Linked DNA regions of Notamacropus eugenii. The protein of the gene in region 2 interacts with the protein of the main gene of each other region in a biochemical or structural test. Links are inferred from orthologs where the notes say so. Each region holds a gene or a part of one and is shown on either strand. Other genes may lie near its edges. The genes, in order: HTRA3, XIAP, UBE2M and TLE3.

Evidence for each region.
Region 1: of the proteins of XIAP (region 2) and HTRA3, one has a biochemical effect on the other in vitro, tested with the Homo sapiens proteins (3 studies listed by BioGRID and IntAct, with this or other methods). The link is inferred for Notamacropus eugenii from reciprocal best matches to the Homo sapiens genes XIAP and HTRA3.
Region 3: the proteins of XIAP (region 2) and UBE2M form a complex in vitro, tested with the Homo sapiens proteins (2 studies listed by BioGRID). The link is inferred for Notamacropus eugenii from reciprocal best matches to the Homo sapiens genes XIAP and UBE2M.
Region 4: of the proteins of XIAP (region 2) and TLE3, one has a biochemical effect on the other in vitro, tested with the Homo sapiens proteins (2 studies listed by BioGRID). The link is inferred for Notamacropus eugenii from reciprocal best matches to the Homo sapiens genes XIAP and TLE3.

Annotation. Positions count from the first base shown.
Region 1 is NC_092877.1:56,221,566-56,229,037, forward strand, and holds the start of HTRA3 (serine protease HTRA3), read right to left. Parts: upstream 3,001-7,472; 5' UTR 2,387-3,000; coding exon 1,972-2,386; intron 1-1,971. UniProt on the Homo sapiens protein: Serine protease that cleaves beta-casein/CSN2 as well as several extracellular matrix (ECM) proteoglycans such as decorin/DCN, biglycan/BGN and fibronectin/FN1.
Region 2 is NC_092879.1:46,933,247-46,940,336, reverse strand, and holds the start of XIAP (E3 ubiquitin-protein ligase XIAP), read right to left. Parts: upstream 3,013-7,090; 5' UTR 2,905-3,012; intron 1-2,904.
Region 3 is NC_092876.1:990,854-998,206, forward strand, and holds UBE2M (NEDD8-conjugating enzyme Ubc12), read right to left. Parts: upstream 2,727-7,353; 5' UTR 2,459-2,726; coding exon 2,350-2,458; intron 2,051-2,349; coding exon 1,956-2,050; intron 1,789-1,955; coding exon 1,750-1,788; intron 1,672-1,749; coding exon 1,568-1,671; intron 1,181-1,567; coding exon 1,117-1,180; intron 1,010-1,116; coding exon 869-1,009; 3' UTR 513-868; downstream 1-512. Other genes in the region: uncharacterized protein, read left to right, coding at 3,410-3,578, 4,124-5,333, 5,429-5,621.
Region 4 is NC_092872.1:133,848,644-133,855,568, forward strand, and holds the start of TLE3 (transducin-like enhancer protein 3), read right to left. Parts: upstream 3,023-6,925; 5' UTR 1,814-3,022; coding exon 1,790-1,813; intron 1,145-1,789; coding exon 1,044-1,144; intron 466-1,043; coding exon 402-465; intron 1-401. UniProt on the Homo sapiens protein: Transcriptional corepressor that binds to a number of transcription factors. Inhibits the transcriptional activation mediated by CTNNB1 and TCF family members in Wnt signaling.

The DNA.
Region 1 (7,472 bases), on a different chromosome or scaffold from region 2:
AAACTCCATTGTATAGGATTCAAGATGTGCCAAATTGCATACTTGATCGAGTCATGTTATAAGAAGGTTCTTGTGTCCTAGAAATGGCATTAGATAGACCTGAGTTCTAAACACCAACTCTGGAGTCCTGGGTCAGTATTTTGAAAAAGTCATTTCACCAATCCAACCATCTGTTTTTCTCCTCTGCAAAGTGGAGAAAATATTCCTTGTAATACCTACTTCTTAGGGTTTTTGTGAAGAACAACTGAGATTATGGATGAAATTGAATTGTAAAGTGTGATATTGTGAGTTGTTATAATCCTTGTAAGGATATTGTGATCATTTTGTATATGATGATATTTTAAAGACATTTCTTATTGACTATGGAACTGGAACCATCAATTCACTTTGGTCATTGTTAAGAACATCTAATGAACCATCAGAGAAAAAAGTATAACCCTTTCATGTTACAGGCAAAACTAATATTTAGAAAGTTTGTTTTAGGTCACATAGCAAATTAATGCTAGAGCTAAGATTAGAACTCAGTGTTTTTGATTCCCATTGAATCATATGGCATTGTGTGACCTTGGGTAAGTCCCTTCATTTCTTCAAGCCTTCGTTTCCTTATCTATAAAATGAGATGTCATCTCTAGAGAAGAGAACCTCTGAGATGCCTCCCAGCTATAACTCTATAATCTTATGTTCCTATAGTCCTTTGTTAAGCACTTCTTAGGCTGTTGGACTTGGGAGATCCAGGTTAACTATCACTGGGTCCTCAACTTTCTTCCCATTTTTGGACTCTGGTCCATTCCCCTTTGTGGTAAGCTTCCTAATCAGAGCACATTTGTACATTGGGAAGCAGCATTGCAAATATCCCCTGACAAGGAAGGAGGTGACATTTTTCCAATGCCTACTTTCCTACTAACTCTCTGGGGTCTAAAGTATGACTAGGAGTTCTACCAGTGGAGATGTGTGTATTGGGGTTACTTCCCCTCTTTGGGGCTCAGTTTCCTCATCTTTAAAGGGATGATCTCTAAGGTCCCTCCTAGCTCTATTGTCTTATGGTTCACATTCTAAGTCTACCTCGGACATTCTCTATTTTAAAGTCTCTTTTCGAGTTATCTCAAAGTATCATGAGCAGCCTGGAGAGGCTGTAGCTTTCCCCTTACTAGGAGCCTTCAAACAAAGATTACATGATTGTTTCTTGGGAGATGTAGTAAAAGGGGCTTATGGTTGAAGAATGGGTTGGACTCCATATTCTTTGAGAGTCTTTCCAAGTCTGAAACTTCTGTGATTCTTTGGTGTCAGCTTTGATATTCTAAGCCTTAAAGTTCTTCCCAATTCAGATACTTTAGGTTCTAAAATATAAAGTTGCTTCCAGCTCTTCTATTTTGTCTTCTAAATTCTAAGTTCTGTTCTAACTATGCCATTTTATGACTTCTCTCACATCTGACACTTGAAAATTCTAAGCTCGTTTCCAGAACTGATCCATGTCAATCAATCAATAATCAATCAAGAAACATTTAGCAAGTGCCTACTATGTGCCAGGCACTGTGCTAAGGGCTTTGGGGATACAAAAAGAAGCAAAAGGCAGTCCCTGCTCTCGAGAGGTCGCAATCTAATGGGGGTGAGACAACAAGCCAACAGATAGATACAAAGATGTTATATACAGGATGAATAGGAAATAATCAGAGAGGGAAAGTATTCGAATTAAGAGTGGTTGGGAAAAGCTTCCTGTGGAAGATGGAATTTTAGCTGGGACTTTAAAAAAAGCCAGAGGTCAGGAGGTAGAGAATTGAAACAAAGGCATTCTAGGCTTGGGAGAGAGCCAGAGACAATGCCCGGGGCAGAATTCTCTTGGGAGCTCTCTAACTTTCCGACTTCCAAGGCCCCTTCGAGCTGTGCCACGCCACGCGCCAGCTCTCTCAGGCTAGACCTTTCGGATTCTTGACTTGCCCCCCGGCTGCGCACAGTGGGCCCGCGCTCCCTTACCCGATTCGCAGGCGCCCTTCTGGATCTGAATGACAGCGGGCAGCCCCTGCTGAAGGGCTTTGCGGCTGGCAGCCTTCAGCCGGCACACGTTGTCGTAGGTTCGCCCGTCGCTGCCGCACACCTGGTAGGTCAGCTTGCACTGGCAGACTCCCTTGGCGAAGCGCTTGCCCGCCGGGTGGCCACACTCCAAGCTGTCTCCGCACGGGGGGTCGTCCTTTCTGCCGCACGCATCGCCCTCGGCGGCCGCGCACACCAGGCAGCAGTTACAGCTGTCGGGCACGTAGCCTCCGGGGCAGCTGGGGCTGGGGCACTTGGAGACATCGCAGCGCGGTGGACATGCCAGGGGCTCTGCCCGACAGGGGCGCAGCAGCGCCAGCAGCCCCAGGGTGCACAGCAGCCAGGTGCTTCGAAGCATGGCCACCTTTCTCCACTTAGTCTCAGGGCTCAGATGCTGCAGCTGCAAAGGCAGACGCGTGCTGGGACAGCTGACAAACAAAGGCAGACGCGCCTGTGGTACCGGCCGAAGGAGCGCGGACGGCCACAGCCGGGCAAATGGGACGTGTGGCTAAAAGTAGAGGAAGCCGTACCAGAGGAGCTCCGGAGGGCTCTGGGGCCCAGAGCGTACCGAGGACTAGCCGCGGGGGGCTGGGAAGACGTGGGTGGGAGGAGGCAGGCTCCAGACACACTGAACTGGGTGGATCAAGTGAGACCAGGACTGGAGAGGTTTCCTGGGGCATGCACAATGAGCCGAGGGTCCCTTGGGCGTCGTGCTAGGTGAAGGCAGCGGCTTCTACCCTTGCTTTGCTGGGAGGAGAGCGCGGAGCCAGATTTTAAAGCCGAGCCAGGCATTCAATGCTCCTCCCCCAATACACACCCTAGCGAAGAAAGAGGGAGGGGGTTGTGGGAGTAGAGTGGAGAGGACTCCTCAAGTCTGGCTGCCGAGTTTTGACGCGGCAGCCAGGGATTATCCCGGGAGCTATAGTCTTGCCACAGGAGGAGGCTGGGTTGCAGGAGCCAGAGCTCAGGCGCAAAGAGGTATGTATGTGGGCTGTGCCTTAGGGGCAGCTGCAGCTGTCTAGGAGGAGGCGTCTGGGGCCAGCTGTGCGCCCAGCCTCCGAGCCAGACCCCACCTCCCACCAGCCTCCGCGCCAGACCCCACCTCCTCAGGGAACCAAATCCAAGCACCTCTTCCCCTCACTCCAGCGCCTAATCTTTCTCCTCCTCTTCTGTCTCCACACTCCGAACTACTTTCCTTTACCTTTTGCTCCCTCCTCTTCCACTTCCTTTGTCGACCTTCAGCTTTGCTTTCCACCGCCCTCTTTTCCCTCTCTCTGTAGCCCTACTGTTCATCTTCCCTCTCCTTTCCCCCTCTATTAATAAAAAATAAAATTTTAATTGGAACACAAATGCATTGTTGGTGAAGTTGTGAACTGATCCAACCATTCTGGAGAGCAATTTGGAACTATGCCCAAAGGGATATCAAACTGTGCATACTCTTTGATCCAGCAATGCCACTTCTAGGCCTGTATCCCAAAGAGATCGTAAAAATGGGAAACCGGCTTGCAGGTACAAAAATATTTATAGCAGCTCTTTTTGTGGTAGCAAGGAATTGGAAACTGAGCAGATGCCCATCAATTGGGGAATTGGCTGAACAGGGTGTGATGTATGAATGTAATGGAGTTCTGTTGTTCTACCAGAAATGATGAGCAGGAGGATTTCAGAAAAACCTGGAAAGACTTAACATGAACTGTTGCTGATTAAAGTGAGCAGGACCAGGAGAACATTGCACACAATAACAGCAACATTTGTGATGATCCACTTTATAGACTTTGCTCTTCTCAGAGATGGGGAACTTGTGGCCTCAAAGCCATATCTGGCCTTCTAGGTCCTTGGGTGCAGCCTTTTGACTGAGTTCAAGTTTTACAGAACAAATTCTTTTATTAAGGGAATTTATTCTGTAGTTTGGATTCAAAGGGCCACACTTGAGGATCTACAGGGCCACATGTGGCCTCCAGGCCACAGGTTCCCCACCCCTGTTACTAAGACAGTTCCAAAAGACTCATGATGGAAAATGCTATCCACATCCATAGAAAGAACGGTGGAGTCGGAATGCAGATCAAAGCATACTATTTTTTTCTTGCTCTTTTCTCTTTCTTGCGTTTTGCCTTTTGTTTCTGATTCTTCTTCACAACATGACTAATGTACAAATATGTTTAATATAATTGTACATGTATAGCCTATATCAGATTACATGCCAGCTTGGGAAGATGGGGAGGGAGAGGGAAATTTTAGAACTCAAAAATCTTATAAAAGTGAATGTTGAAATAAATTTTAAAAAACCAAAACTTTTTAAAGTACCTACTATGTGCCAGGCATTATACTAAATGTTGGGGATACAAAAAAGAGGCCAGACAGTCCCTGCCCTCAAGAAGCTTACAGGCTAATAGCTAATAATTCCTGATTAGAGAGATTCCTGTTCAGATATGGGTTAGACCAGGGGTGGGGAACCTGTGGACTCAAGGCCACATGTGACCCTCTATGTCCTCAAGTGTGGCCCTTTGACTGAATCCAAACTTCACAGAACAAATCCCTTAATAAAAGGATAGTTCTGTAAAACTTGGACTCAGTTAAAAGTCTATACCTAGGGACCTAGAAGGCCACATGTGGCCTGGAGGCGAGAGGTTTCCCACCCCTGGGTTAAACTATACAGTGACTGAAGTCTCTAGTCTATGAATCTGAATTTCTTTCTCAATACCTGAAACTCCTTTAAAAAAGAACAAAATCTTTCTTTCCATGGATACCTTCACATGTGGCTTAGGGTCAGGTCATACTATCTTGTATAAATAGCTTCATTATACCATTAAATTGAGTCAACATTAATTTTATTTGGTGAGAATGGAGAATGTTTCACAAGGCTCCTTCTCAATAACTAAAAATACTCTGTGGTGTTGCAAAACCAAAGTTGGCAACTATTGTCTTAGCAGCATGAAAAGTGTGAAATATGTCCAAAGGAAAAGAACAGATGGGGTGATTGGTGCTAATGCCTCATCTTTAGTTCCACACAGAATCAGAATGGTCTTTGGGTTCCTGGTATCTTCTCCTCCTATCTAGCATTTTCCTGGAGAGTCTATTTTCCTGTGTATGGGGATAATACTATTTATACTTTATGATCATGTTTGTCGCAAGGACAGCCCTATAGACTTGAAATTATTAGAGTTTATATGGGTTTAAATGAAAAGTCTTTTGGTGGTTGTCTTTGGGGGCACACACTGAGCTAGAAGAGATCTTTATCTCCTCTCCACTCCCTGAAATTTACAGATAAGAAAAATGGTGTTCAGAGAGGTAAATAATTTACTCAAAATTACTTTTCAAGTTAATGGCAGAGCTTAGATTATAGCCCAGTCCAGTGCTCTTTCCATATTCTGCCCACTGTGACTATATTGACACCTAGAAAGACAAAACAAGGAAAACAAATACTAAAATATAAAAGCAAATTAATGTTTGTAAATGGGGTGGAGCAAGGGGAAGAATTCTCAGCATAGTACAAAAATTTAAAACATCCTCATAATTTTTTCCTTTTACTTTTATCAATAACTTTTTTTTATTCATTTTCATTTTTGAATGAATGTCCCTCCCTTGCCTCAAAGAACTATCCCTAGAAACAAAAAATAAAAAGTGGCAGGGACAAGATTCAAACTCAGATTCCAAAGCCAGTTCTCCTTTCACTGAATTATTCTGTTAAAAGAGTGATGAAGGCTTGAAAGAAGATAAAGATTTTCGAAGGTGGAGATGAGGATAGAGTGCATCCCAGGCACAGGGGACTTGTATAAAAGCATAAGAGCCTGGCAGACAGTAGAATGTAGGGAGGAGAGCAGTATGATATGCAGTTGGAAAGATGTTAGGGAGAGAGATGTATAGAGGGCTTTAAGTACCAAACTCTAAAGACTCTAAGTTAAATACTTCAGACAAAGGAGGGCCATTCAAAGTTTTTAGCAGGAAAATGATGGCACTTTGCATGCAATTCATATTTACTTATTTTCATACATACCAAGTCACATACTTGGTCTACATTTCACATTTATCTTTACGTGTATATTTTGTATCCCACTATCCCTTCACCTAGTACAATATAAACTAGAGGGGCAAACACTGTGTGCAATGGTTAACCCAATGTCTGCAATCCAGATAATTGAGGGAGAGAATATTTTTTGAGATTTTGGGTGTATGTGTATTTTAAATTGGCTTGAATTACTCACATTTTTAATAACTTCACTTAATCTCATTACCTCAGTTTATTCATCTATAAAATGGGGATAATAATTCCTGCCTGGCCCACTTCACAAGGTTATCCTGAGGAAAGTGCTTTGTAGAGGTCAAAGAGTCTAGAAATGTGAGTTCTTATTGTTGTTACTGTGAGGAGCACATGAAATAATGAATGCAATCCAAAAAGGATGTATGGTTATTCATTTATATTTTGTTGTTGTTGTTATCTGGTCTCCCTACTTCTAATCTCTCCCCTCTCCAATACATTTTTCACATAGCTGCCAAGATGACATTCAAAACCATACATTTGGCCATATATTCTCTTATTCCAGAGAAATAATACTATGCCCGAAGAAAAGGATGTTGCAAGTTACTGTTGTTTGGTCACTAGCCACGTCTCACTCTTTGTGACCCCATTTGGTGTTTTCTTGGCAAATATCCTGCAGCGGTTTGCCATTTCCTTCTGCAACACCTTTTACAGATGAGGAAACTGAGGCAGACAGGGTTAAGCAACTTGCCCAGAGTTCCACAGCTAGTAAGTGTCTGAGGCTGGATTTGAACTCAGGAAGATGACAGGCACTCTGTGCACTATGGCGCCACCTAGCTGCCCTTGCAAATTATAATAGCAACATTAAAAACCAAGTCAGTATATTTAATTACATCTGACCCCTGCTTTCATGTCTGCCTATCGAAATCCTACCCATCCTTCAAAGCTCAGTCCAATACCACCTCTTCCAAGAAGCTGTAATTCCCCTCCCGTGGGGTCTCTTGAGTTTGATCTTTATTGTGCTGAATGTTTATTAAGTTGAATTTTAGAGATGATGACTAAAATCAGCTCTAAATTAAATTAACTAATGGTTAAAATAAATAAACTAATAAGAGGGAAATCTAGCCTACACCTATGCCTTTATCAATATGAAGAATTTTAGAGGTACATGGAAAGATATATATGAAATAAGAAGAACCAGGGAAGTAATATAAGTGATAACTACAGTGTTATAATTGGAAACAATAAAAACTAAACTAAATGCTGTGTAATTACAAGGGTGAAGCCTGTCCTCCCCCAAAAGTAAAGAGAATTTGTATCTTCTATTGGCATGGAACATTTCATATATTTTTTCAGGTGTGGTTGATGTATTTATTAGTAAGTTTTGCTGAGTAACTTTTTTTCCTCTCTTCATTTTTTGTTCTTTCTTGTAATGAATGATTCTCTGGGTCAAGGAAGAAAAGAAACACAT
Region 2 (7,090 bases):
AATTCACACTTTCTAAAAATCAAATAAACACTTACTAATCACAAACTATGTGCCAGAGATACAACAAAAGTGAGGCAGACCTTGCCTTCAAACTTATATTCTATCACAACAAAACATGTTCAAAAATAAACAAATACTTATCTATACGAAAACAGAAGGAGGGAGGCATTAAGAACTAGGCGGACCTGGAAAAGCCTCTTGAACAAGGATTCCTGAAGAGAATTAGTCATATCAAATATGAAAAAATAAGGACTGTAAATGATGCTGGGTTTCCTAAAATTAAGTGATCGCTGGTGACCTGTGAGTATAATTTGAGTAAAGCTGTATGTAAGCCAGATTACAAAGGATTAAGGAATGAAGGACTAGTGAGCAAGTAGCAACAGCATTCTCAAAAAAGAACTTCAAGCTATTTTATACACTATTTATTCTTAACTCCATTTTCTAGGGAATACAGAGATTACAGTCCCCATTTGTCATTACTTTACTCATTCAGCACTGCCTGATTAAAGAAACAACAACTATTTACCTCACATCTCATAGCCAATAACCCTTCATTCATTAAATGGTACCAATTAATTCCTGGACAGAAGCCGCTAAAAGAGCAGTCTGATACAGTAATATGCAAGTTTAAGAAATGCACCGCATTTAAAAGCAAGGGCTGCCTGTCACTTTAACTTGCAATCTGCTCGATTCAACATGTATAAAGGCAAGCCCAATGTGGCAGCCTTGGAACCAGAAGCTTTAGGTGTGAGTTCCCAATATAGCATTCACTAGCTATATATGGGACATATAGGATCTTAGGCTAGTCTATTCACTTTTCTAATGTATAAAATGAAGACTAATACTTGCACCACTTTGATATTTTTTCTTCAACTGAAAAGAAACTATTTTAAAATGGCTTTTTAAAAAAATTAATGAGAAATAAGAAAGTTCTAGAACTAGGCTCCGTTTCCCACTCTGGCTCACATTTACCATATTGAATTCTCTCAACACGAACTACAGATGTTTCATTCCACATATTTAATCAGCTGCTAAGTACTGTCCATTCTATCCCCATAACATTTACAGAATCCTTTCCCTTCTCTCCACTCACATCTACACCACTCAAGTTCAGGCCCTCATCACCTCTGCCTGGATCATTCAATAGCTTTCTAATTGGGCTTTCTACCACAAGTGTCTCCTCTCGATTCATTCTCCACAAAACTATCAAAGTGATATTTCTAAAGCACAGATCTGTTTGGCCCTGTTAAGAGTTCTGCTAAATAAACTTCCTGGGTTCCCTATTACCTCATGGATCAAATACAAATTCCTGTTTGGTATTTAAAACTTTTAAGAACTGTCCTCCAACTTTATCAACTTGTTCTAAATCACTCTCCTTTACACTATAGTCTATACTATCTATCTATCTATCTAGTCTACAATCCAACCAAACTGAAACTTTTTGTTACTCCTCCTCACTCAACACAAACCATCTATTTTCTTCATGTTTTTCTATATACTGCTCTGCCTGCAACACACTCCCTCCCCATCTCAGCCTCTCAGAATCCAACATTTCCTTCAAAGAAAAGCTCAATCATCTCCTCTTACACATGGCCTTTCCTGAATCCCACCACCAGCTGCCAAGGAATTTTGTATATACTCACACAAATACTTGCCATCTCCCAAGATAGAATGGGAACTCCTTGAGGGAAGGCATTGTTTTGTATCCTCAGTATATAGCACAACGCCTGGTACATAGCAAATGTCTAATAAATGCTTGTTCATTTTTCCCTAATAAAAAGCCCCAAATATCCAGTTTCACACACAAACTTGGTGCTGTAGAAGTGATACTTTTTTAAAAACTTAGTCTGATATCTGTTTGAATACAAGGAAGTTATTTCCAAGTCCCGTTCCATTATCACTGTTTCCTTGATCCAGCAACAGCAAATATTAAACAAAAATGCTGTAGAGTAACAATCACCAGTCAGCTCCAAGTAAACCCATAACAAATACATCATTGTTTTGGCATTTTCTAGCTATGAAGTAACTATATTTGAATACAATGTCAGACAGCCTTAAAACTTGCTAGGAACGAATGAAGAAGGCTACATTATTGCTGTGGGTAGCGTGGGGGGGGGGGCGGAGAAAGAAGAGGCTCGAGAGAGGGGAGTAAGAAGGGTTTGCCCACTCGGTTTTTTGTGCTATTTTTAAAAGTTTTCTACCAAGTTCAAATTCATTTTTGTTCTACAAAGTTGGCTAGGAAAGGAGCTTTGGCAGCAGAGGGATGGATCATGGGCTCATTTCCTCTTAAGTGAGTCTTTTTTCCTTTCCGCTCTCTTCACTCCCCCTCCCCCCAATGTGGATACAACTATAACCTGACAGAAGTTGCAACTGCACTAGCCAGCCCCGTCAGGGAGAGTTAGATCACCACGACCCCTTCCTTCCTCCTCCTCCGTCTCCTTTCGATAAGACTAAGGGGAAAAACCAGCCCGCCCCCACGCCTGTCCCTGTCCCACGTTACGGAAGAGAGAGGAAAAGTCGAGTGAGGTCAGGGCAGTCCCCGAGCGCCGCCGCCCTCTTCCCTCCGCCTCCTCCTGCTGCTCGTGATCCTGGTCACAGTCAAGAGCAGGAGGAGAACAGAGAGCGAGCGAGAAAGAAAGGAAAGTCCGTGGAGAGGCAACGCACGCCAAACCCGCGGCCGACCGCGCTGGTACCCAGCCCCACCGGGGGGGACTACCTGAGGATGGGACCAAGAATTACTTGGGGGACCCCTCCAGTACTCAATTCCCCAGGCATGCCCGAAAGGACTGAGCCCGCTGAGGCTGAAAACACATCGACCCCACTTCCAGGAGGATTGGGGGATTCTCCCATACCTGCCTCTAACTTTGGGCCCCTCCCTCTCACCCTGCCCATCCACTCACTTACCTTTCTAACCAGCGAAAACCGCAGCTACCGCGCATGTGCAACCTGCGCCGCTTCCCAGAGAGGAGACCACGGCCCAGAGATAAAACGTCTGCGGGTCAGCTGAGAAAATGAAAGGCGGCGTCCGTAGCGTCAGGCGGCGTCCGTAGCGTCAGGCGGCGTCCGTAGCGTCAGGCGGCGTCCGTAGCGTCAGGTGGCGTGAGCTTTGGCGCATGCCCGATGACAGCCTGGTGGGCTACGTGGCAGCATGCCCAGGAAGACTCACTGGGCTTTACGCAAAGTTTTTTCCGGTTTTCGCTGGTTGGGGAAAGGATCAAGGAGAGAAGCAGGGAGAGTAAAGGAAGGGAAGGATGGAAAAATGGAGAAGGGCCTAAGGAAGAAAGGAGGGGGCGGAGTCGAGCTGAACCAAACAGAGGTAGAAGGGAGCGAACGCAGCACTCCAGGGCTTCCTATGAAAAGGGAACCTGGTGTTTTAACGACAGCCACAGGAGACAATGGAAAGCAGTTGGACCCTACACATAATACGGTATACTGAAATAAATTCTAAATAGATACACATCCCAAATATCACATTATTTTTCTTTAACAGTAAAGACAACAGTTCATCATTTCTTACAGCACAATAGTATTCCATTACATTCATATACCGTAATTTATTCAGCCATTCCCCAATTGGTGGGCATCCCCTTGACTTCCAGTTCTTGACCACCACAAAGAGAGCTGTTAATCAGTATTTTTGTACATGTGGGACCCTTTCCCATTTTTATGATATCTTGGGAATACAGTCCTAGTAGCGATATTGCTGAGTCAAAGGGTATGCACATTTTTGTAGCCCTTTGGGCATAGTTCCAAATTGCTCTCCAGAATGGTTGGATGCGCTCGCAGCTCCACCAACAATGAATTAATGTTCCAACTCTCCCACATCTTCTCCAACTTGTGTCATCTTCCTGTTTTGTCGTGTTAGCCAATCTGATAGGTGTGATGTGTTCTTTTGATTTGCATCTCTCTAATCAATAGTGATTTAGAGCATTTTTTCATATGATTATAGATATCTTTAATTTCTTTCTCTGAAAACTGCCTGTTCATATTCTTTGACCATTTATCAATTGGGGAATGACTTGTATGGTTATACATTTGAGTCAGTTCTCTATATATTCTAGAAATGAGGCCTTTATCCCTGAGCTTAGCCGTAAAAATTCTTTCCCAAATTACTACATCCCCCTGAATTTTGGTTGCATTGGGTTTGGTTGTGCAAAAACTTCTCAGTTTAATGTAATCAAAATTATCCATTTTGCATTTCATAATGCTTTCTATCTCTTCTTTAGTAAAAAATTCTTCCCTTCTCCATAAATCTGATAAATACACTATTCCTTGCTTCTCCAGTTTATTCATGGTATCAATCTTTATACCTAAATCATGTACCCATTTGGACTTTATTCTTGTGTACAGTGTCAGGCATGGGTCTATGCCTAATTTCCACCACACTGTTATCCAGTTTTCCCAGCAATTTTTGTCAAACTGTGTTCTTATCCCAGAAGCTAGGGTCCTTGGGTTTATCAAACAGGAGGTTGCTATATTCCTTGCCTACTGTGTCTTGAGTGCCAAGTCTATTCCACTTGTCTACCTCTCTGTTTCTTAGCCAATACCAAGTGGTTTTGATAATTGCTGCTTTATAGTACAATTTGAGGTCTGGTAGCACTAGGCCACCTTCCCTAGCATTTCTTTTCATTAGTCCCTTTGATATTCTGGACCTTTTGTTCTTCAAGATGAATTTTGATATTATTTTATCCAGCTCTAGAAAATAATTATCTGATAGTTTAATTGGTATGGCACTAAATAAGTAAATTAATTTAGGTAGAATTGTCATTTTTATTATATTAGCACGGCCTACCCATGAACAATTGATGTTTTTCCACTTACTTAAATCTGACTTTATTTGTGCAAAAAGTGTCTTGTAATTGTGTTCATATAATCCCTGGGTTTGTTTTGGCAGGTAAACTCCTAAGTATTTTATAGTGTCTACCCTAGCTTTAAATGGGATTTCTCTTTCTATTTCTTGCTGTTGGACTTCGTTGCTAATATATAGGAATGCAGAAGATTTGTGTGGGTTTATTTTGTAACCTGCAAGTTTGCCAAAGTTGTTTATTATTTCAAGTAGTTTTTTACTTGAATCTCTGGGATTGTCTAAGTAAATCATCATATCATCTGCAAAGAGTGATAACTTAGTTTCTTCTTTGGCTATTCTTATTCCTCAATATCTTTATCTTGTCTAATTGCTACAGCTAACATTTCTAGTACCATATTGAATAATAGTGGTGATAATGGACATCCTTGTTTCACCCCTGATCTTATTGGGAATGCATCTAGCTTATCCCCATTGCATATAATGCTTGCTGAAGGTTTTAGATAGATACTGCTTATTATTTTATGAAAAGTTCCCTTTATTCCTATGTTCTCCAGTGTTGTTAATAGGAATGGGTGTTGTATTTTGTCAAAAGCTTTTTCTGCATCTATTGAGATAATCATGTGGTTTTTGATAGTTTTGTTGTTGATATTGTGTGGGATGGCTCAGGTCCCTACATAAATCAATTACTCAGAGGCCTCTCAAAGTGATGACAGAAAAGTGATTTAGTCGATTCTCGAGAAGCGGGGCTTACCTGTAGGAGTAGGAAAGCCGAAGACAAAGAACAGGACAGTGATTTATATAGACCCTAACGCAAGTCCCTCCTCCCCCCACTGACCATTATCCTCATTAGCTGAGAATATGGTCTTACATTCTAGACACGAAATCTAACCAATCCCTTTTGAAATGAAGACATCGAGGAATTATGTAAGTTTTGTCCAATCATTGAGACCCTAATACACTACACAGTTTTATATCCTTATATGGAACTATTCTATTCTAAAAATATTGTAACCTTGAGCCTTTAGGCCTTACCTCACCCCTGGGAGAAAAATTACAATCTGAGGAGTCTTCACTAAGTCTATCCCACTCAATATGATCAATAATGCTAATAGTTTTCCTAATATTGAACCAGCCCTCCATTCCTGGTATGAATCCTACCTGATTATAATGTATTATTCTCGTGATAAGATGCTGTATTCGTTTTGCTGAAATCTTATTTAAAATTTTTGCATCTATATTCATTAGAGGAATTGGTCTATAATTCTCTTTCTCTGTTTTGTCTCTTCCTGATTTAGGTACCAGAATCATATTTGTATCATAAAAAGAATTTGGTAGGATTCCTTCTTCACCAATTTTCCCAAATAGTCTATATAGTTTTGGAATTATTTGTTCTTTAAACGTTTGATAGAATTCACTTGTAAATCCATCTGACCCTGGAGATTTTTTCCTAGGAAGTTCATTGATAGTTTATTCAATTTATTTTTCTGAGATGGGGTTATTTAAGTATTCAACTTCTTCTTCTGTTAATCTGGGCAATTTATATTTTTTTAAATAGTCATTGTCAAATTTATGGGCATACAGTTGGGCAATGTAATCTCTAATTATTGTTTTAATTTCCTCCTCATTAGAGATGAGTTCACCTTTTTCATTTTTGATATTGGTAATTTGATTTTCTTTTTTTTAATCAAATTGACCAAAGGTTTATCAATTTTATTGGTTTTTTTTCATAAAACCAAGTCTTAGTTTTATTTATTAGTTCAATAGATTTCTTAATTTCAATTTTATTGATCTCTCCTTTGGTTTTCAGTATTTCTAATTTGGTATTTACTTGGGAATTTTCAATTTGTTCTTTTACAAGCTTTTTCAGCTCCTTGCCCAGTTTGTTGATCTCCTCTTTCTCTCTTTTATTCAGGTAGGCATTCAATGATATAAAACTTCCCTTAAGAACTGCTTTTGCAGTATCCCATAAGTTTTGGTAGGTTGGCTCATTATTGTCATTCTCTTGAATAAAGTTCTTGATTGTTGTTGGGATTGGAAGCTCAATTCCATGTGGACAGTCTCGGGCGGGTAAAGGTGGGAGCTTCTAAATCTTAGAGCTCTCACGAGACCCCCCCAGGAAACGGCAGGGAATCGAGGTGAACCGAGCTATCTCGAGTAATTCCGCCTCTTCCCGTAAGAAACGTGATGGGAGAGAGATCTCCCCGCCCTCGAGATTGTCCCGGATCTGGGCACACCTAGTTACCTAACAGCACGGTATTCAGATGCAAACTATGCGGCTGAAGG
Region 3 (7,353 bases), on a different chromosome or scaffold from region 2:
CAGAACGCCGGGGTCCCGGAGGAGGGGCCTAGAGGGGGCGCTGCGTTCCGAGATCGGGGGAACCAGAAGGCGGGGTCCCCCGAGGAGGCTGTCGGAGGGGGGCTGAGGCCCGGACGCCGGCGTCCTCTGGGGGCGGGGGGGCGCGCCTTCACTCACCGGCCCCGAGCTGGAGGCACAACCGCCGCCTCCGGGAAGCCCCCCGGGTCGCGCTGGACTCCGGGGCCACCCACCCGCGCCGCCGCCGCCGCTGCCCGGGGTCTGCTCGCCGCCTGCTTTCTCCCACAACCCGCCGCTGCTTCCGGATACCGGCGCCGTGACGTCACTGGCACGCGCCCCGCCCGGGGCCGAGAGCCGTAGTGCGCAGGCGCGCGGGGTCGGACGGCCCGCAGAGCGCGCCGGCGTGCAGGCCGGCGCTCCAGCCCCGCCCCCCCTTCCCCGGGGCCGCAGGTTCGGGTCCAACCCCGCACGGACAGACGGGACGCACGCACGGACAGAAGGCCAGGAGGCAAAGGCACTGCATCAACATTCCCCTTTAATAACCTGACACGAACTCGAGTGGGAGTGGGGGCGGGGTCCGGGGACAATCCAATTCATTTCCCTTCTCTGATCCGGACGACGGGGGCGGGGTAGGGCGGCGCCCATCAATCACGTGGTTAAAAAAACTAAACCCAAAAAAGAACTGGGGGCGGCGCGCGGCCGGAGGCCCCCTCCCCATCCCCACTCCCGCGCGAGGCCCCGGCCCCCAATAAATACGTGGCCCGGGGGCCGCGGACGCCCCGCCCCCCGCCCCGACCGGGGGAGGGGGCCCGGAGGAGGGGGAGGGCCGGCTCGGGGGGCGGGGCTGTCCGTCCGTCCGCCCGCCCCCCGCCTATTTGAGGCAGCGCTCAAAGTACGTGGAGCCGATGTAGCCGCCGCGCATGGAGCGCTGCACGTTCTGCTCGAAAAGGCGCCGGTTGTTCTGGAGGACCTCGGCCGCCTCCTTGTTCAGGGGATCCTCGGGGTTGGGCTCCTGCGGGCCGGGATCCGGTCAGGCCCGGGGCCCCCTACCCCCCCCACCCATCGCCCCACGGCCTCCACCCCCGCACTCATTCCCCTCGGCCCCCCCCACGCACTCACCAGGAAGAGATACTGCAGCCCGTAGATGATGGAGTTTATCGTTAGCACTGGTTTCCAGTCCTCTCTGTGGAAGGAGAAGCGCCCCCCAGCCCAAAGGGCTCGGCCTCAGCAGGGCAGCCCCACCTCCTCCTGGCCCACGGGCAGTGCTCCTCATCCCATCCTGCCCACCCTCCCCCCAGGGTCCTAAATCGGAAAAGAAGGTTCAAGCCACATCTGTGTGCCCTTCCCTGGTCTCCAGCTTGGTCACTTCTCCACAATGGCTCTCTGCTGAGCCCTGTCCGGCCATCTCCTCCTCAAGGCTACTGCCAAAGTGCTGACCCCCAGCAGCACCAGGCTGACCGTAACCCTCTGGTCCTCTGTCTTGGCCACTGTACCCTCACAAGTTCCCCTCAAGGGCCAGCAGGCCAGAAATGACCTTGTTCTCACCGGGGAAGTTGGGGTGGCCACTTACCTGAGGATGTTAAGGCAGACATTGCCCTCAAGGTCGATGTTGGGGTGATAAACCATGGTCTCACACTTCACCTTGGGTGGATCGTGGGGGTAACCCTGGCCAACCTGGGGACAGAGAGGCAGTCAGAGGCCCTCGGCCCCTCCCCCAGGGCAGTTTCTGCCCCTCCCCTTCAAAAGACTTACCTTAAAACTAAACACAAACTTGCCAGCCTTGTAGAAGCCCTGGAAAAAGAAGGGAAAGGAAAGGAGGGGAGGCTGATTGGGGCTGCCTGCTCCAGGTACCTCCCGGCACACAGTCCCCAGGCCCCTGGGAACGGCTTGGAGAAGGACAGAAGTCGGGAGAGGCCCATGGCGGCAACATGACCGACGCGGGGGGAGGGGGCCCTCACCTCATCCGGGCAGATGACCAGCTTGAAGTTGAGGAGGTCGTCCTGATCAGAAAAGTCGATCTCGCAGGTCTTAGGCAAGTTGAGCTCATTAATGTCTGGAGGAGAGTGGAGGGCAAGTTATCTGGGGACCATCATCTACACCCTGAGGTCAGGGGCTGGTCCAGGTAGGATCGGGTCCGGGGTGGGGTGGGGACGAGGCCGCAGATGGCCCCGGTTGGGGGGGGGGGGGGGGGCAGCCCCTGGTCCCAGGTGGGGGGTGGGGGCAGTTGATGATACCAGGTGGGGGTGGGGGCAGCCTTGGGTCCCAGGTGGGGGGTGGGGGCAGCCCTTGGTCGCAGGTGGGGGTGGGGGCGGGGCGGCCCTCTCCCCCCTCTCCCCCCTCCGCCCGGGGCACCTTTCTGGATGCGGAGCTGCGCGGCGGAGGCCTTCTTGCTGCTGCCCTTGGTGCCGCCCGCCGACTCCTCCTCCTTCTTCTGCTGCTTCAGCGAGAACAGCTTGATCATCCTGCCGCCGCCGCCGCCTCCTCGGGGCCCTGGCCGGCCGGCCGCCCCTGCCCACTGTCCGCCGCCTGCCCGCCCCAGCCCCCGCCTCCGGCCCCTGCCCGGCTCCTCCGCGTTCCGGCCCCGGCTGCTCAGCTCAGCGCCGCGCTGCGCGGCCCGTCTCGGCTCCCGTAGCTCGCTCGGTCCGCTTCGGAAGTGTTCGACTCCCTCCGGAAGGGCTCGGCTCCGCTCGGGTGCCTTCGGAAGTGGGCTTCGGCTTCGCCCCGCCCCCCGCCCGGCGGCCGCTCTCGGTCCCGCCCCCTCCTCTCCTCCTCCTCTGTCCCAGATCGGGTTCCCGGCTGCCCTTTCTCTGTCTCTCTGTGTCCCTCTTTCTCTCTCGCTTACAGGCTACGAACCGGCTTCGGCCTGGGCCAGGCCCTCAGCCTGGGCGGTCGCGAAGGGCCTCGACAACGGTCTCGGGGCGCCCCGACGCTTCGGTGATTTCCGCCGCCGCCTCCCCCGCTTCGGCTCTGGCCGCTGTCGGCCCCGCGGCGCGCATGCGCAGACGCGGCGCGCAGTCCGGGGCCGCGCTCGGCCATTTCCGGGCGGGGGCTTCTGGCGCTTCCGGAGGAGATTGACCTGCGGGCTGCCGACCGAGCTGGCTGGGGGAGGGGTGCGAAGGAAGGCTCTTGGAGGGCGGAGGTGGGGGGGGCCACGGGAGGAGGAAAGAGAGTTACTAGTCTCCAGGGAGCTCTTAGTGCACACATCGACCGCGACAGCGCTGGCAGCTGTCAGTTTAGGCCAGCCCCGCCTACGTGCCCGCCCATTGGAGAAGGCTCGGAGGGCGTGCCAATAGTCGTCGGGCTCTAGGCCCGGGGGCGGGGCTGTGGCGCTAGCCTTATACGAATATCCCGGAAATGCGGAGTAGGCGGGGATGACCGAATCTGAGCTGCAGCTTCCGGGCTTTCGGTCTCCATGACAACCGCAGGCCGGGAGGAGGGGCAGCGAGGCGCCGCGGGAGCGCGGGAGTCCCGGCGTCACCAGGGAGACCGCATCGCCTCAGAAGCGGTTGGTCCCGGGGCCGAGACTGAAGGCGAGAAGGACGCGAGCCGGGAGCAGGCGGAGGCGGGCCCTCATCCCCATGGTAACTCCGCTTCTCCTGCGCCTAAGAACCGAATCGCTGAGCATTGTGGGAAAGGGCAAGGAGTCTGCGCGCCGCCTGCTGGGGAGCGTAGTCCAGCGGGGGCTGGGGGCACGTGATGGGGAGGGGATGGGGCCCTGCAGGGTTTGTACTGGAGAGAGGGGAAGAGCTGCTTTCGGCCGACCCCCTCAGTAGTTCTCGAGCGTCTCTTCTCGTTTGGGGGGGGGGCTGTCTCACCCAGGAGAACTGAGACCTCATTGGCCAGCTTCGGTGGGGGAGGGGGCGGACAAAACCCCTGTCCTTTTTTGCCTGCGTACCCCAGTGCACTCAGGTTGGCACACTGTAGGTGCCTAATAAGTGCTCATTGACTGCCACGCGACCGTGAGGGGCGCACCTGAGCCTGAGTTCAGATCCAGCCTCAGACACTTGCTAGCTGGGTCACCAGTCTGCCTCAGTTTCCTCACGTGTCATTTGAGCTGGAGGGTCAGCACTGAAGGGGCGCCTGGCCTGGAGGAGGGCCCCCACCCTCTGTCCGCCCTCTCCCCTAGGTGCCAGTGGCCGGCCCGAGGGAGCCTTGAAGGACGCGCCAATGGCGCACCCCCACCCGCGGGGGCAGCTGCGCTACCCCAAGCCGTTACGGCTCCTGTGCCAGGCCGTGCCCCCCATCCTCGGCTCTTCCCGCTGCAGACCCAGCCTCTCCCTCTGCAAAGGGCCCCCTCCCTTGCTCATTTCGGGGGCTCCTTTTCCCCTTGCCCCCAGCGCCCTGCAGTGCAGGGTGCTGCTTCTGCCTCCAGCCTCCCAGGGACCCCGGCTCATCCATCTCCAGAAGGGCCCTGGCCCCCCTCCGCAGGGGCGCCTCGGCGCTGTCTCCACTGCACCCCAAGCCCCTCTCCTGAAGAGCCCCATGCCCTCTCAATGCCGGGTGCTCGGCTGTCCCCGGCCCCAGAGCTGCTCCCCGATGGGGGCACCTCCTCCCTGTACTCCGAGTCCCTCCCGCTCCCCCCAGACCAGATCTCATCCCCTGAAAGGGAGACCCCCCCTCTCCAGGGCCAGCCCCTCTCCTTGCAGGACGGTGTCCTCTTCTATCTGCCTAAAAGTCCAGCCTCTGAAGGGGAAGCCCATCCCCTTCAGTCCCAGCCCCTCCAAAGGCAGAGCCTCATCTTCCCTGAGACCCAGATACCACCCAGTCAAGAAAGCCCCCCACACCTCCAGTCCCAGACCTTCAGGTTCCCTGCAGCCCAGTTCCCCGCCTCTGAAGGCATGCTCTGCCTCCTCCCACTGCGGGAAAGCCCAGGCTCCTCCACTGCTGGGGGCCCCTTCGACCATTGACCCTAGTCTGTCCTGCCGGGGCTTGCTCCATTCTCTGAGGCTCAGCCCCTCCAGACACAGGGGACTGGCCTTCCCAGTGAACATGGTCCTGGCCTCTCCAGAGCTCCTGTTCTCCCCCCGGGCCCAGGATTTCAGAGAAAGAGAGCTGGGGTTCACTATCCTGCCCAGACTCTCCTCCCCAGAAATCCCTCCCAACTCCCCTACTTCTGGCTTCAGTCCCACCCCAACCCCCTGCTCCCTTTATCCTGGCCTGGGTTCCCCTGAGTCACAGGATGGCCACAGTTCCAGAGTGATCCAGTCTGTGCCCCTGTCTGCGGTGAGCACGGACCTTGCAGAGCCCCAGGCCTTTTCAGGGGGGCATGATGGTCAAGGACGGGACTTGGATACGGTCATCCTGCAGCCACAACAGGAAGGACAGCATCTCTTGGGGTGAGGCCCTGGGGATCCCCACCTCTTCAGCACCCCAGGGTTTTGGGGGAGAACGGGAGGAGAACCGCAGCGACCCCCTGCTCTCATGTGCCTAGGCCTGCTGTCCAGGTTTGGCCCTGGCCTCGTGGCGGCAGCCACCAGCTGGGCTCCACCTCCGGCTTTGGCTGTCTCTTCTGGCCGTGTTCCAGTGGTGCTTCCCATGTGAGCTCCGCAGGGGCTCTGCCCGTCCAGAAGCATCTCCAGCTGTGCTCTCCTGCCCCCCGTCCCCAACACCTGCAGTCTCCCTGAGAGCAAGTCCACCCAGGGGAGAGAGCTTTGGCTCCCCTGAAGTATCAGTAAAGTGGGGGTGTGGAAAATGAGGACTCACTTCTGGGGGATGCCAAGGCTGGCAAGACACCACCCGATGGTGAGGCCCCTGGTCTGAAGCGGGGATGGAGGGTATTTGGGCCACGGGAGGGAAACACGAGCCTCTGCTCCCAGTGAGGTGAGGTCACTGTGGCAGCCGAGGGCCAGCTAGACTGGAGGGACAGCCCTGGCCAGGGAGAGACTGGAGACAAAGGGGAGGGGCGATCTGTCGGAGGAGATGGGACAGCAGGCAGAGGGGGGGCCAAAGAGTGAGCTCACGGTTTTAGGCCTCAGCGTCTCATAGGGTCTCAGCAGAGGGGAGCCATGAGAGTATCTGGAGGGCCTCTCACTGATAGAATCGAATCGAATTCAGCCAGCCCTTTGAAGCATCTTTCCTGCCCTGAGGGATGGAGAGGCCTATCTACTGGGCTGTGGGGGTGAGATTGGGCAGGGCCTCCTCTCCATCCCTGGGCTCTGGGCTGCTACAGGACACCCCAGGGGAGATGGGGGGAAATGTGCATCTGTAGTCAGGGTGGTCAGCAGACACAGACAAGAGGATTGGGGAATGCACTGAGAGACCTGTGGAGGTTACCTGGTTCAGGCTGTTCAGGTGACACAGGAATAAACTGAGGAAGCCCTGAGCTAGGAATGGGCTTACCCCAGACTCCTCGGGTCTCCTGCCCAACTTCCAGTAGCACTGGGCTTCCTGCAGGCCCCAGGCAGCGCCTGCTGGGGCAGGTGCAGTGAGGACAGTTGGTGCCAACCTTGGCCCACAGTCCCCTCCCACCTGAGGAGAGGTCCCTGCCTGGGGGGTGGGGGCGGTATTAACCCTCCAACAATGGACTCTCACCTGGAAGACGCATTGGATTCATAGACCATTGGATGGGATGCTGCGTGCTGGAGATGTGTATAGCTGTGTTACCATGAGCAAGTCACTTGTCTCAACCTCAGTTTATTTGTCTATAAAGTGGAGTTAATAACATCACCTTCCTCTCAAATGAGATACAGCACGTGTAAGTGCTTAGTAGCCTTCCTTAGCAGCACCATGTAAATGTGCACTGTTGTCCCAAAGGACAAGGCCCTCATTTTACAGATAAGGAAACAGGCATTCCAGAGCAGGGCTGCACAGCAAGTGAGTTGATAGGATTTAGACACTTGAGAAGTCACCAGGTTGGACTGCTCCCCTCAAAAGGTAGACACACAATGAAAAACTTCGCAGCCTGGTGTGATGGGTCGCAACTGGCATCTCTGAGTTGCAGGAGGGAACAAAGCTGATACAACATCCCTGCTAAATCTCTTCCTGTGCCCATCAGCCTGGGTGGGAGAGGGAGACCCAGGCCCAGAAAGAAGGCTGGAGCCTTAAGATGTCACCCCCAGACTTAGGCCAGCGGCCCCCACAGAGACATGCAGAAGACCCCCAGCTCTCTGCTTCATTCTCCCTATTTCTAAGGCAGAGCCCTCTGGGTGTCCCACCATCAGTGTGGTGAGGCAAACATGAGAGAAAGATGAGGGCTGCTTGTAACAGCTCCGAGCCTTGAGCCATAGATGGTGGTGCCTGGCACATTGGGTTGGAGCCAGCTGCTTCCCTTGGAGAGGGGTATAGGAGGTGTGTGTGGAGGGAGTGCTGTTCTGTCCTGGTCATTCTAACTGGTCTATTCCTCCCCCCAGGAACACC
Region 4 (6,925 bases), on a different chromosome or scaffold from region 2:
AAAACAAAAACAAGTAATAGACACTTGGAGAGAGGTCAGTGTATGGGACCAGTTCTCCTTTTGATTCCAGCCCCAACAATTGTGAGCTAAAGTGTCTCTTTTTATTACAGTAGCATCCCCCTTTAATGTAGATAGAAGGATTTTCCTGCTGAGCATCCTAGACAGAACCTAGGAACCCTGGAGTTAGAAGGATAAGAGGGAAAAACAGAGACTGAAACGTTGTTCTCAGTTCTTCACCAAATGTCCACCTTCCTTGCTCTCCCTCTCCACACACATCGTATTTTCCAAGTTTGGGCTCCGGTCTGACTTTACCTCTGTTGTCCACTCACCACCCTTGGTCCTCCCTCCTCCAAAACTCCCTAACTCCCAACTCTTGGGCCATTCTGTAGATCAGCTCTTACCATAACATAATGGCGCTGCATTTCTGTCTTCTCGTTGGCGAGCTTGTCGTACTCCACTTTGAGACTATAAAGATCAAAACCAGATAATTTTCAGAACGTACTCACAAGCAAAGAGTCTTTTAGGGAGGTGGGATTGGAGACTGGAGGGTAGAAAAGGTCCTAGTAATATATACAAGGCAAGAAAGAGGACTTTAAAAGTCACTGTTCTACCTGCCCAGAGCACTATACAATTTCCAGTTGGCATAGGAAAATCAACTTATCCACATTTACAGCCCCACCACCCTCAAGAAGGGTGGTCAACTTTCTCTGAGACCTAGGTTGGGGGAGGTCAGTAAAGAAAGTGGCGAAAGACCCTAAAATCAAAACCTGGCACGGGAGCAGGGAGCAATCTTCACCCTTGAACCCCTTTCAAAATTACCCCAAACTTCTCTGGGAATGAAGGGATGGTATTGAGAGTATAGACTGAAGTCTCCGGGTGACAAACAGTTAAACTGGGACCGCTTCGAATGGGGAAATGAAGGATTGCACCCCCAAGTCTTTTCTCCTCCGCGGGGATTTCTGAACCCCTAGGGAAACAGGGGAAGAGTGTGCTGAGGGACCCTGGGGATCTGCCTAGCTCCCAGCCTCCATCTCGCACCTTACCTGTGATACTGAGCTTGTAAGAACTGGAATTCGTCTTTGATTCGATCACAGGACTCAGCCACAGTAAATTTAAAACCTGGCTGCCCGGGTTGATGGGGAGCCTAGAGTCAGGGGAAGACAGACGTAGGGAGAGAGGAGTAAAGAGATCAGTGAAGGGATCCGGACAGGCAAAACAGCGACCATCTGCCCCCTAGTCCTGCCTCTCTCGATTACTTAGCCTTGGAGCAGCACCCCCCCCCCCGCCCCCCTCCAATCCGCGCGGCTGCTCCAGTCTATTCAACCCTCCAAACCAGATCCTCCCCTCAGACCCAAGTTTCTTAGCTACCGTGAGAAGAGGCACCCCAAAGCACTTCCCTCCATTACAGGGTTTCCATCCCAGCGGCATCCCATGGAAGGAATGGGAGGGGGAAAGCACTGTTTGTTTAGACGCAGAGGTGGGGGTGAGTGGGGGGACTGAAGGAGTGTATGTGTGAAAGCACTTCATCTTCCTACACCAGCCGCACCAAAGCGCACCAGAAGGCTTTAAACATCTCGGTCCGCCAGCCCGCCCCCGCCCCCCCCTTTCCTCCCTCTTTGTGTTAGAGTGCGCACACACGCACACACTCACACACACAAACACACACAAACACACACGCACGCACGCACACACACCATAAAGGTAACAAGCAAAATGGAGGTGCAAGATAAACAGCTTCATTTACCCTCCAATGATAGATGATTAAATAAATCTAGTTACAATTACTCACCGGATGTCTGCCTTGCGGATACATCGCAGGGAGGGGTCGTGATTCTGCGAGAGTAGGTGGAAGCACAGAGACCTGAACCCGCGGAGGTGAGGGAGAGGGGGAGCGGGGAAAGCCGGACCAGGGGGCGGCAGGGAAATTGAGCGGTTTCCCCCGCGCCCCCCCACCCCACTCTCGGAACAATATCCCAGGCTCAGGAACCAGACACAAGTAGAAACAAAGAGCCAAGGAAAAATTAAGGGGAAAAAAAGTCCTTCCAGAAAGCGAATGGGGAGGCCGGGGCCAAGCTTGCTGGGGGTGGGGAATGGGGGGGTCTCCTTGTCTTTGTCTAGCTAGGGCTCCGCCGCCAGCAGCCGGCCGGTTTCCCTCGAGTGCGAAGAGGGAGTCAGACTCGGGGGGTTCGTAGACATCCTTGTCCTCCCCGCGGATTCACCGGGGGAGGGTGCGGTGTCCGGCGTTGGAGTCCCGAGACCAGTGGATGCAGCTACTACTGACCTCCTCTACCCCCTCCTTCGAATCACCGCCGCCGGGCTGGGAGGGGGCCACGACCAGACAGCTCCACCAACCCGAGCGCTCACAAGCTCCCCTACGTAGCCGGGCTCCGCGCTGGCTCCGAAGAAAGCCCTCCCGGAGGAGAAAGGATGAATTAGGAAGGACCAAGGTGGCGAGCTGAGGCGGTGAGAGTGCCGAGGAGTGAGGACAGGAGCTCAGCTCAGGCCGTTTGACCACCCTCCCCCCACCCCCCTCGGAGAACCCAGCTGCTCCTCCGCGGTGGCTGTGGCTTCAATTCCCTTCCCGGAGCTGGAGAAAAGCCGCTTCTAAGTAGATTCGATTCAACTGCTTGGCATCCTAACTCCACCAGGCGCAGGAAGGAACTAGCCAGGGTCCACTCCAGGGAGAAATTGGCTCTCCTCAAAGCCAGAGAATGGCAAATCCCGAAGACAAGAAAGCCCTCTTGCTGCTGCCTCGGCGGACGGGCAAAGGGGAGACGCTCGAGAGGAAAGACCCAGCAAGACAAGAGAGCTCTGTGGCTTTCCACTCGGCCCCTCTCCTTTCCTCTTTCCTCTACTAACCCCCAAAACACACACTCACACACACGTACATACACTCACACCAAAAAAAAAAAAAGTGCCCCGGACCTTGCGGATACCACACACAGACAGAGGCTAGAGGGACAAGCACGAGGTCTGAACTGCCGCGAGAGCAGTTCCAAATAGGGACTGAAAAGTAACAAAATAATGTGGCAGCTTTGCCCGGCGCTGGCCAATGGGAGCGCCGAACCCCCACGTGGGGCGGCCGAACTCGGCCTGCGAATGGGTGCTTGCAGGGGCGACGTCACAATGCCCTCTTGTGTCTAAAACTATGCATGAAAAGTAGCAATCAGCCCCTACCCGCTGGTGACTTTCGCATGGGAGTGAAAAACAGCGCTCCTCAGATCAAGAATTAACCGAAAGACATATAATAAATAGATATATATTATGGTCCTGGGCTGCTAGGGTGTTTTTTTCCCTCCTCTTTTTTTTCCCACGATCCACTAGCAAATAATTATCTGGCGGGAGGGAGAAGGAAGAGAAATAACAAAAGAAAAAAAGACATCCTCTCTACAATTCTAAAAAAACCTGTGGCTTGTAATAATGTATCAGTTTATTCTGCAGCGGCGGCGAACGATTCCTCCCTCTAATCTCATTAGGTCTGCAAAGCAGTCCAATTAGATACTATAAAACAAACAGAATCGCTTTGTCACTTTTATGTTTTCAGTTCACAAGATTTAGTGCGGATAAAATGGTTGTTCCCAAAGTTGCTTCTCCCTCCACCCCCAATTTAAAGATGTGTTCAGAATAGCCAGGCGGCCCTTTCTTTTCCTCAACCTACTAACCCCCACCTCCGCCCCATTTTCTCTTTCATGCTCCAGTCTTTTCGCAAAATAAACACCCGCTTTGATGTGAGATGGGTAGTGAGAAGGTCTGAAGAACTCTTGGTTGGCTGCTAACAAAAAATGGAAACAACCCGGTTCCACCCGGACTACCTGTTTCACTCACATATCCCTGAACTCTGGTCTCCTTTCCAGTCTGAGCAGTCTTGGTCAAGTACTTGGGTAACCATCATTCAAGTTACACACTCGCCAAACATCATTTGAATATCCCTGCATTCTCACTACAAAGTAATGCTCACAGTAGCCTCTCTGGGATAGTAGCAGAGGGTTTTCCCCCCAGTTAGAAAAGCTATCCACTCTCACAGCATTTTATTAAGCCTATTAGAGAGGAGGACTAAATTTACTCCACACCATAGGATTAGAATGCTCTGAGGCAAAAACAAGATTGAGGGTCTGATAATGCACCTCCTAGTACAGGCTCCCGCTAAACTAACCTAGAGCGCTTTCTGGGTACACCCTAAGAGTAGGAGGATTCTGAGTTGTTGGAAAGACCAACCGATCTCCCGGGCTAGCTGGTTGCTGCCATAAGTCGGGGCGGGTGAGGGGAGAGAGAGAGAGAGGTGGAACGGGAAACAGTAAACCCATCACCGATAGTCTTTTATCACTATATCTCGGGGTTACTCCAGGCCGGATCTGGAGAGGAAAAAGAGAAGGCCTTTAGTGTGTGTGTGTAATTAAAAAGAAAAAAAAAAGAAAAGACACTGTCTTACCCCCACCCACCTCACCCTCCCCCCCCCCGCGCGCGCGCGCACACACACACACACACACACACACACACACACACACACACACACACACACTTCCCTCCCCCCACACACAAACCCTTCTTCTTCCTCCTTGTACAAAGGAACAAAAACCTGGATTCTCAAACATAGAACCATCAGGGTTGAGCAACCAATTATGGCCAGGTGAAAGCCAATAACTATTCTCTCAGTCTTTTCCCCAATCCTCTCCTCTCCACCCGTACCACCTCTTCTTTTATCATTTCTGTAAATCATCAATAAACCATGTCAGCTCCGGGCTAGTGGAGGAAAGAGCTGGCGGGCAGGCGGGCAAGCTAGCAAAAAGGATCTTCCCCAACATGTTGGCGAGGTGGTACAATTGGAGAGAAAGAAGAACCGGAGAGGACACGCGCGAGCGCAGTCGCGAGGTTATTTCCTCGGCCTGGATCTATATTTTCCTCTCATTAAGAGCGGAGATTGGCGCTTGCATTTTAATGAGGAGGATGCGATCTCTTTTCCAACGCTGCGAGTCCAGGGAGGGAGGGTGAAAAAGGAGTTACACGTGAGTGCCTCAGTTTCTTAAAGAGTTAACACTTGTCTCTCGATTACAACAAGGCCCTGCCAACACCACATTTTAAAATCTATTTATTTATTTACACCAATATGAAAATAGTGTATGGAGCTGAAAGAGTGAAGGGGAGAACCCGGTTCGGCAGATGCAAACATCTGGCTACAGCATCTATTAGACACAAAATGGCTCCTCTCTCTATCTTCTTCTCCTCCCCCCCTTTCTTCCCTCCCCCTTACGTCACGGGTGGGCTCACCCTCCCCTTTTCACCCCTCCCTTCCCTCGCCAGGTGCCCCACGTGGGATTCGCCGACTCCGCCCCCCGTCAAGGCTCCAATAACCAATCACGAAAAGGTGAGGTAGCTGCTAGTCGCCAATTGGTGCAGTCGGTGGGGACTGTCTTTCTCCAGCAGGGCTTGTCAGTCAAAACCACGCGGGGCGGGGAGCGCTGACAAATGCCTGGGCTTCTGAGCCTCCCGCTTGCAAATAGTGCTTGGAATGGCTGCTTAATTAGCTTTGAATGGCTTTTCCTTCCAGCTCAAACAATCTGTCACTACCATGTGGTATAAAGGAGCCATGCATAAAAAAGTAAGCAGAGGCTAAATATCAATTTGATTTTGTGTATCAAAGGAATATTTTATTTTTCTCCCTAGTAATGAAACGTATCAATTTAAATAATAAAAGGTAAAAAAAAAAATACACACATACAAAAAAAAAAAACCTCAGCTGTCCTCATCTCAACACACATGAAGCAGGTAGTTGCTTCAACCCATGAAAAAAGAACCTGACTCTCGTTTTTGTTGTCGTTGAGTCTGGAAAAGGAGGGGTTGGTTTGAGTAGGATGAGTTGGTGTGCTCACAGTGGAGCTAGGGCAAAAAAGACAGCATTGGGAAAGGGGTTAAATTAAAAGGTACCCTTTGAAGATGGTTATCAAAGTGAGTAGTTAAAGGTCTTGAAAAAAGGGGGGAACCCACGTTGGATTTCTATTTGGGACGAAAAGAAGGGGGACAGGGAGTGTAAGGGAAGCGGGAAGAAGTAATGCAAGTCTCACGTTTATTAAATATAATGCCTTCAAGATGCAGCGTCCCCTGGTTGACTTTTGCCCTCCCCTGGATGGGGGTGGGGAGAAAGACTGGTGTTGAAGGAATACCATGGAACAGCGCTGGGGCTGGTCTAGGCTGCACAGGTAGGTGGAGGAGAATTCTGGCCTAAAGAAAAACCGGCTTTGCGCTCTAGTCCCTGGTTCTTGATGAGGCCCATGCAGGGCTATCCCTCATTTTTCTGAAACCAGCTTCATCTTGTTATTGTTGGGTAAAACCACCTGAGAAGGGTCAAAAGTGTTAGATAGGGAGGTTTCCAAAGCTCTGACTTCAGATTACTACCTCAATCCGTTGCCCTAAACAACTCTTTCAAACCTGGGATTCCTGTCTTTAGGGACAAGTCATCTTCTATGCATAAAGGGGATTGGGGAAAAACTAAGGGTACAGAGAGAAGAGGTCAGGATCTCTTTTTAAACTTCACAAACCCACTTCTACCCCATACCACAAGGCAAGTTGAGCAAAAAAAAAAAATACATTTTTAACCTTGGTGTTTGAGAAAGGAAAAAGAAAACACACACACAATCCAAGGCGCTTGACAATTATTTAAAAAAAAAAAAGTTCAAACGTCTCTGTCTCCAGTTCTAATTGGAAACGTTTCAACTGTTTATGTTACAAGAAGTGTCAGGGTCATTTGCTACTGGAGAACTGACTTTTCATTGGCTGCCTAATTGAGTACCTTGGAGTCCACCCCACGTGGGAGAGGAATTCCTGGCTCACACGGGAGTCACCAGGGCAAGAAGGAAATCCAGGCCTGGATTAAAGGAGAGGCAAAAGGTTTTTTTTTTTTTTTCTTCCATGGGGGTGGGTGGGGGCTTGC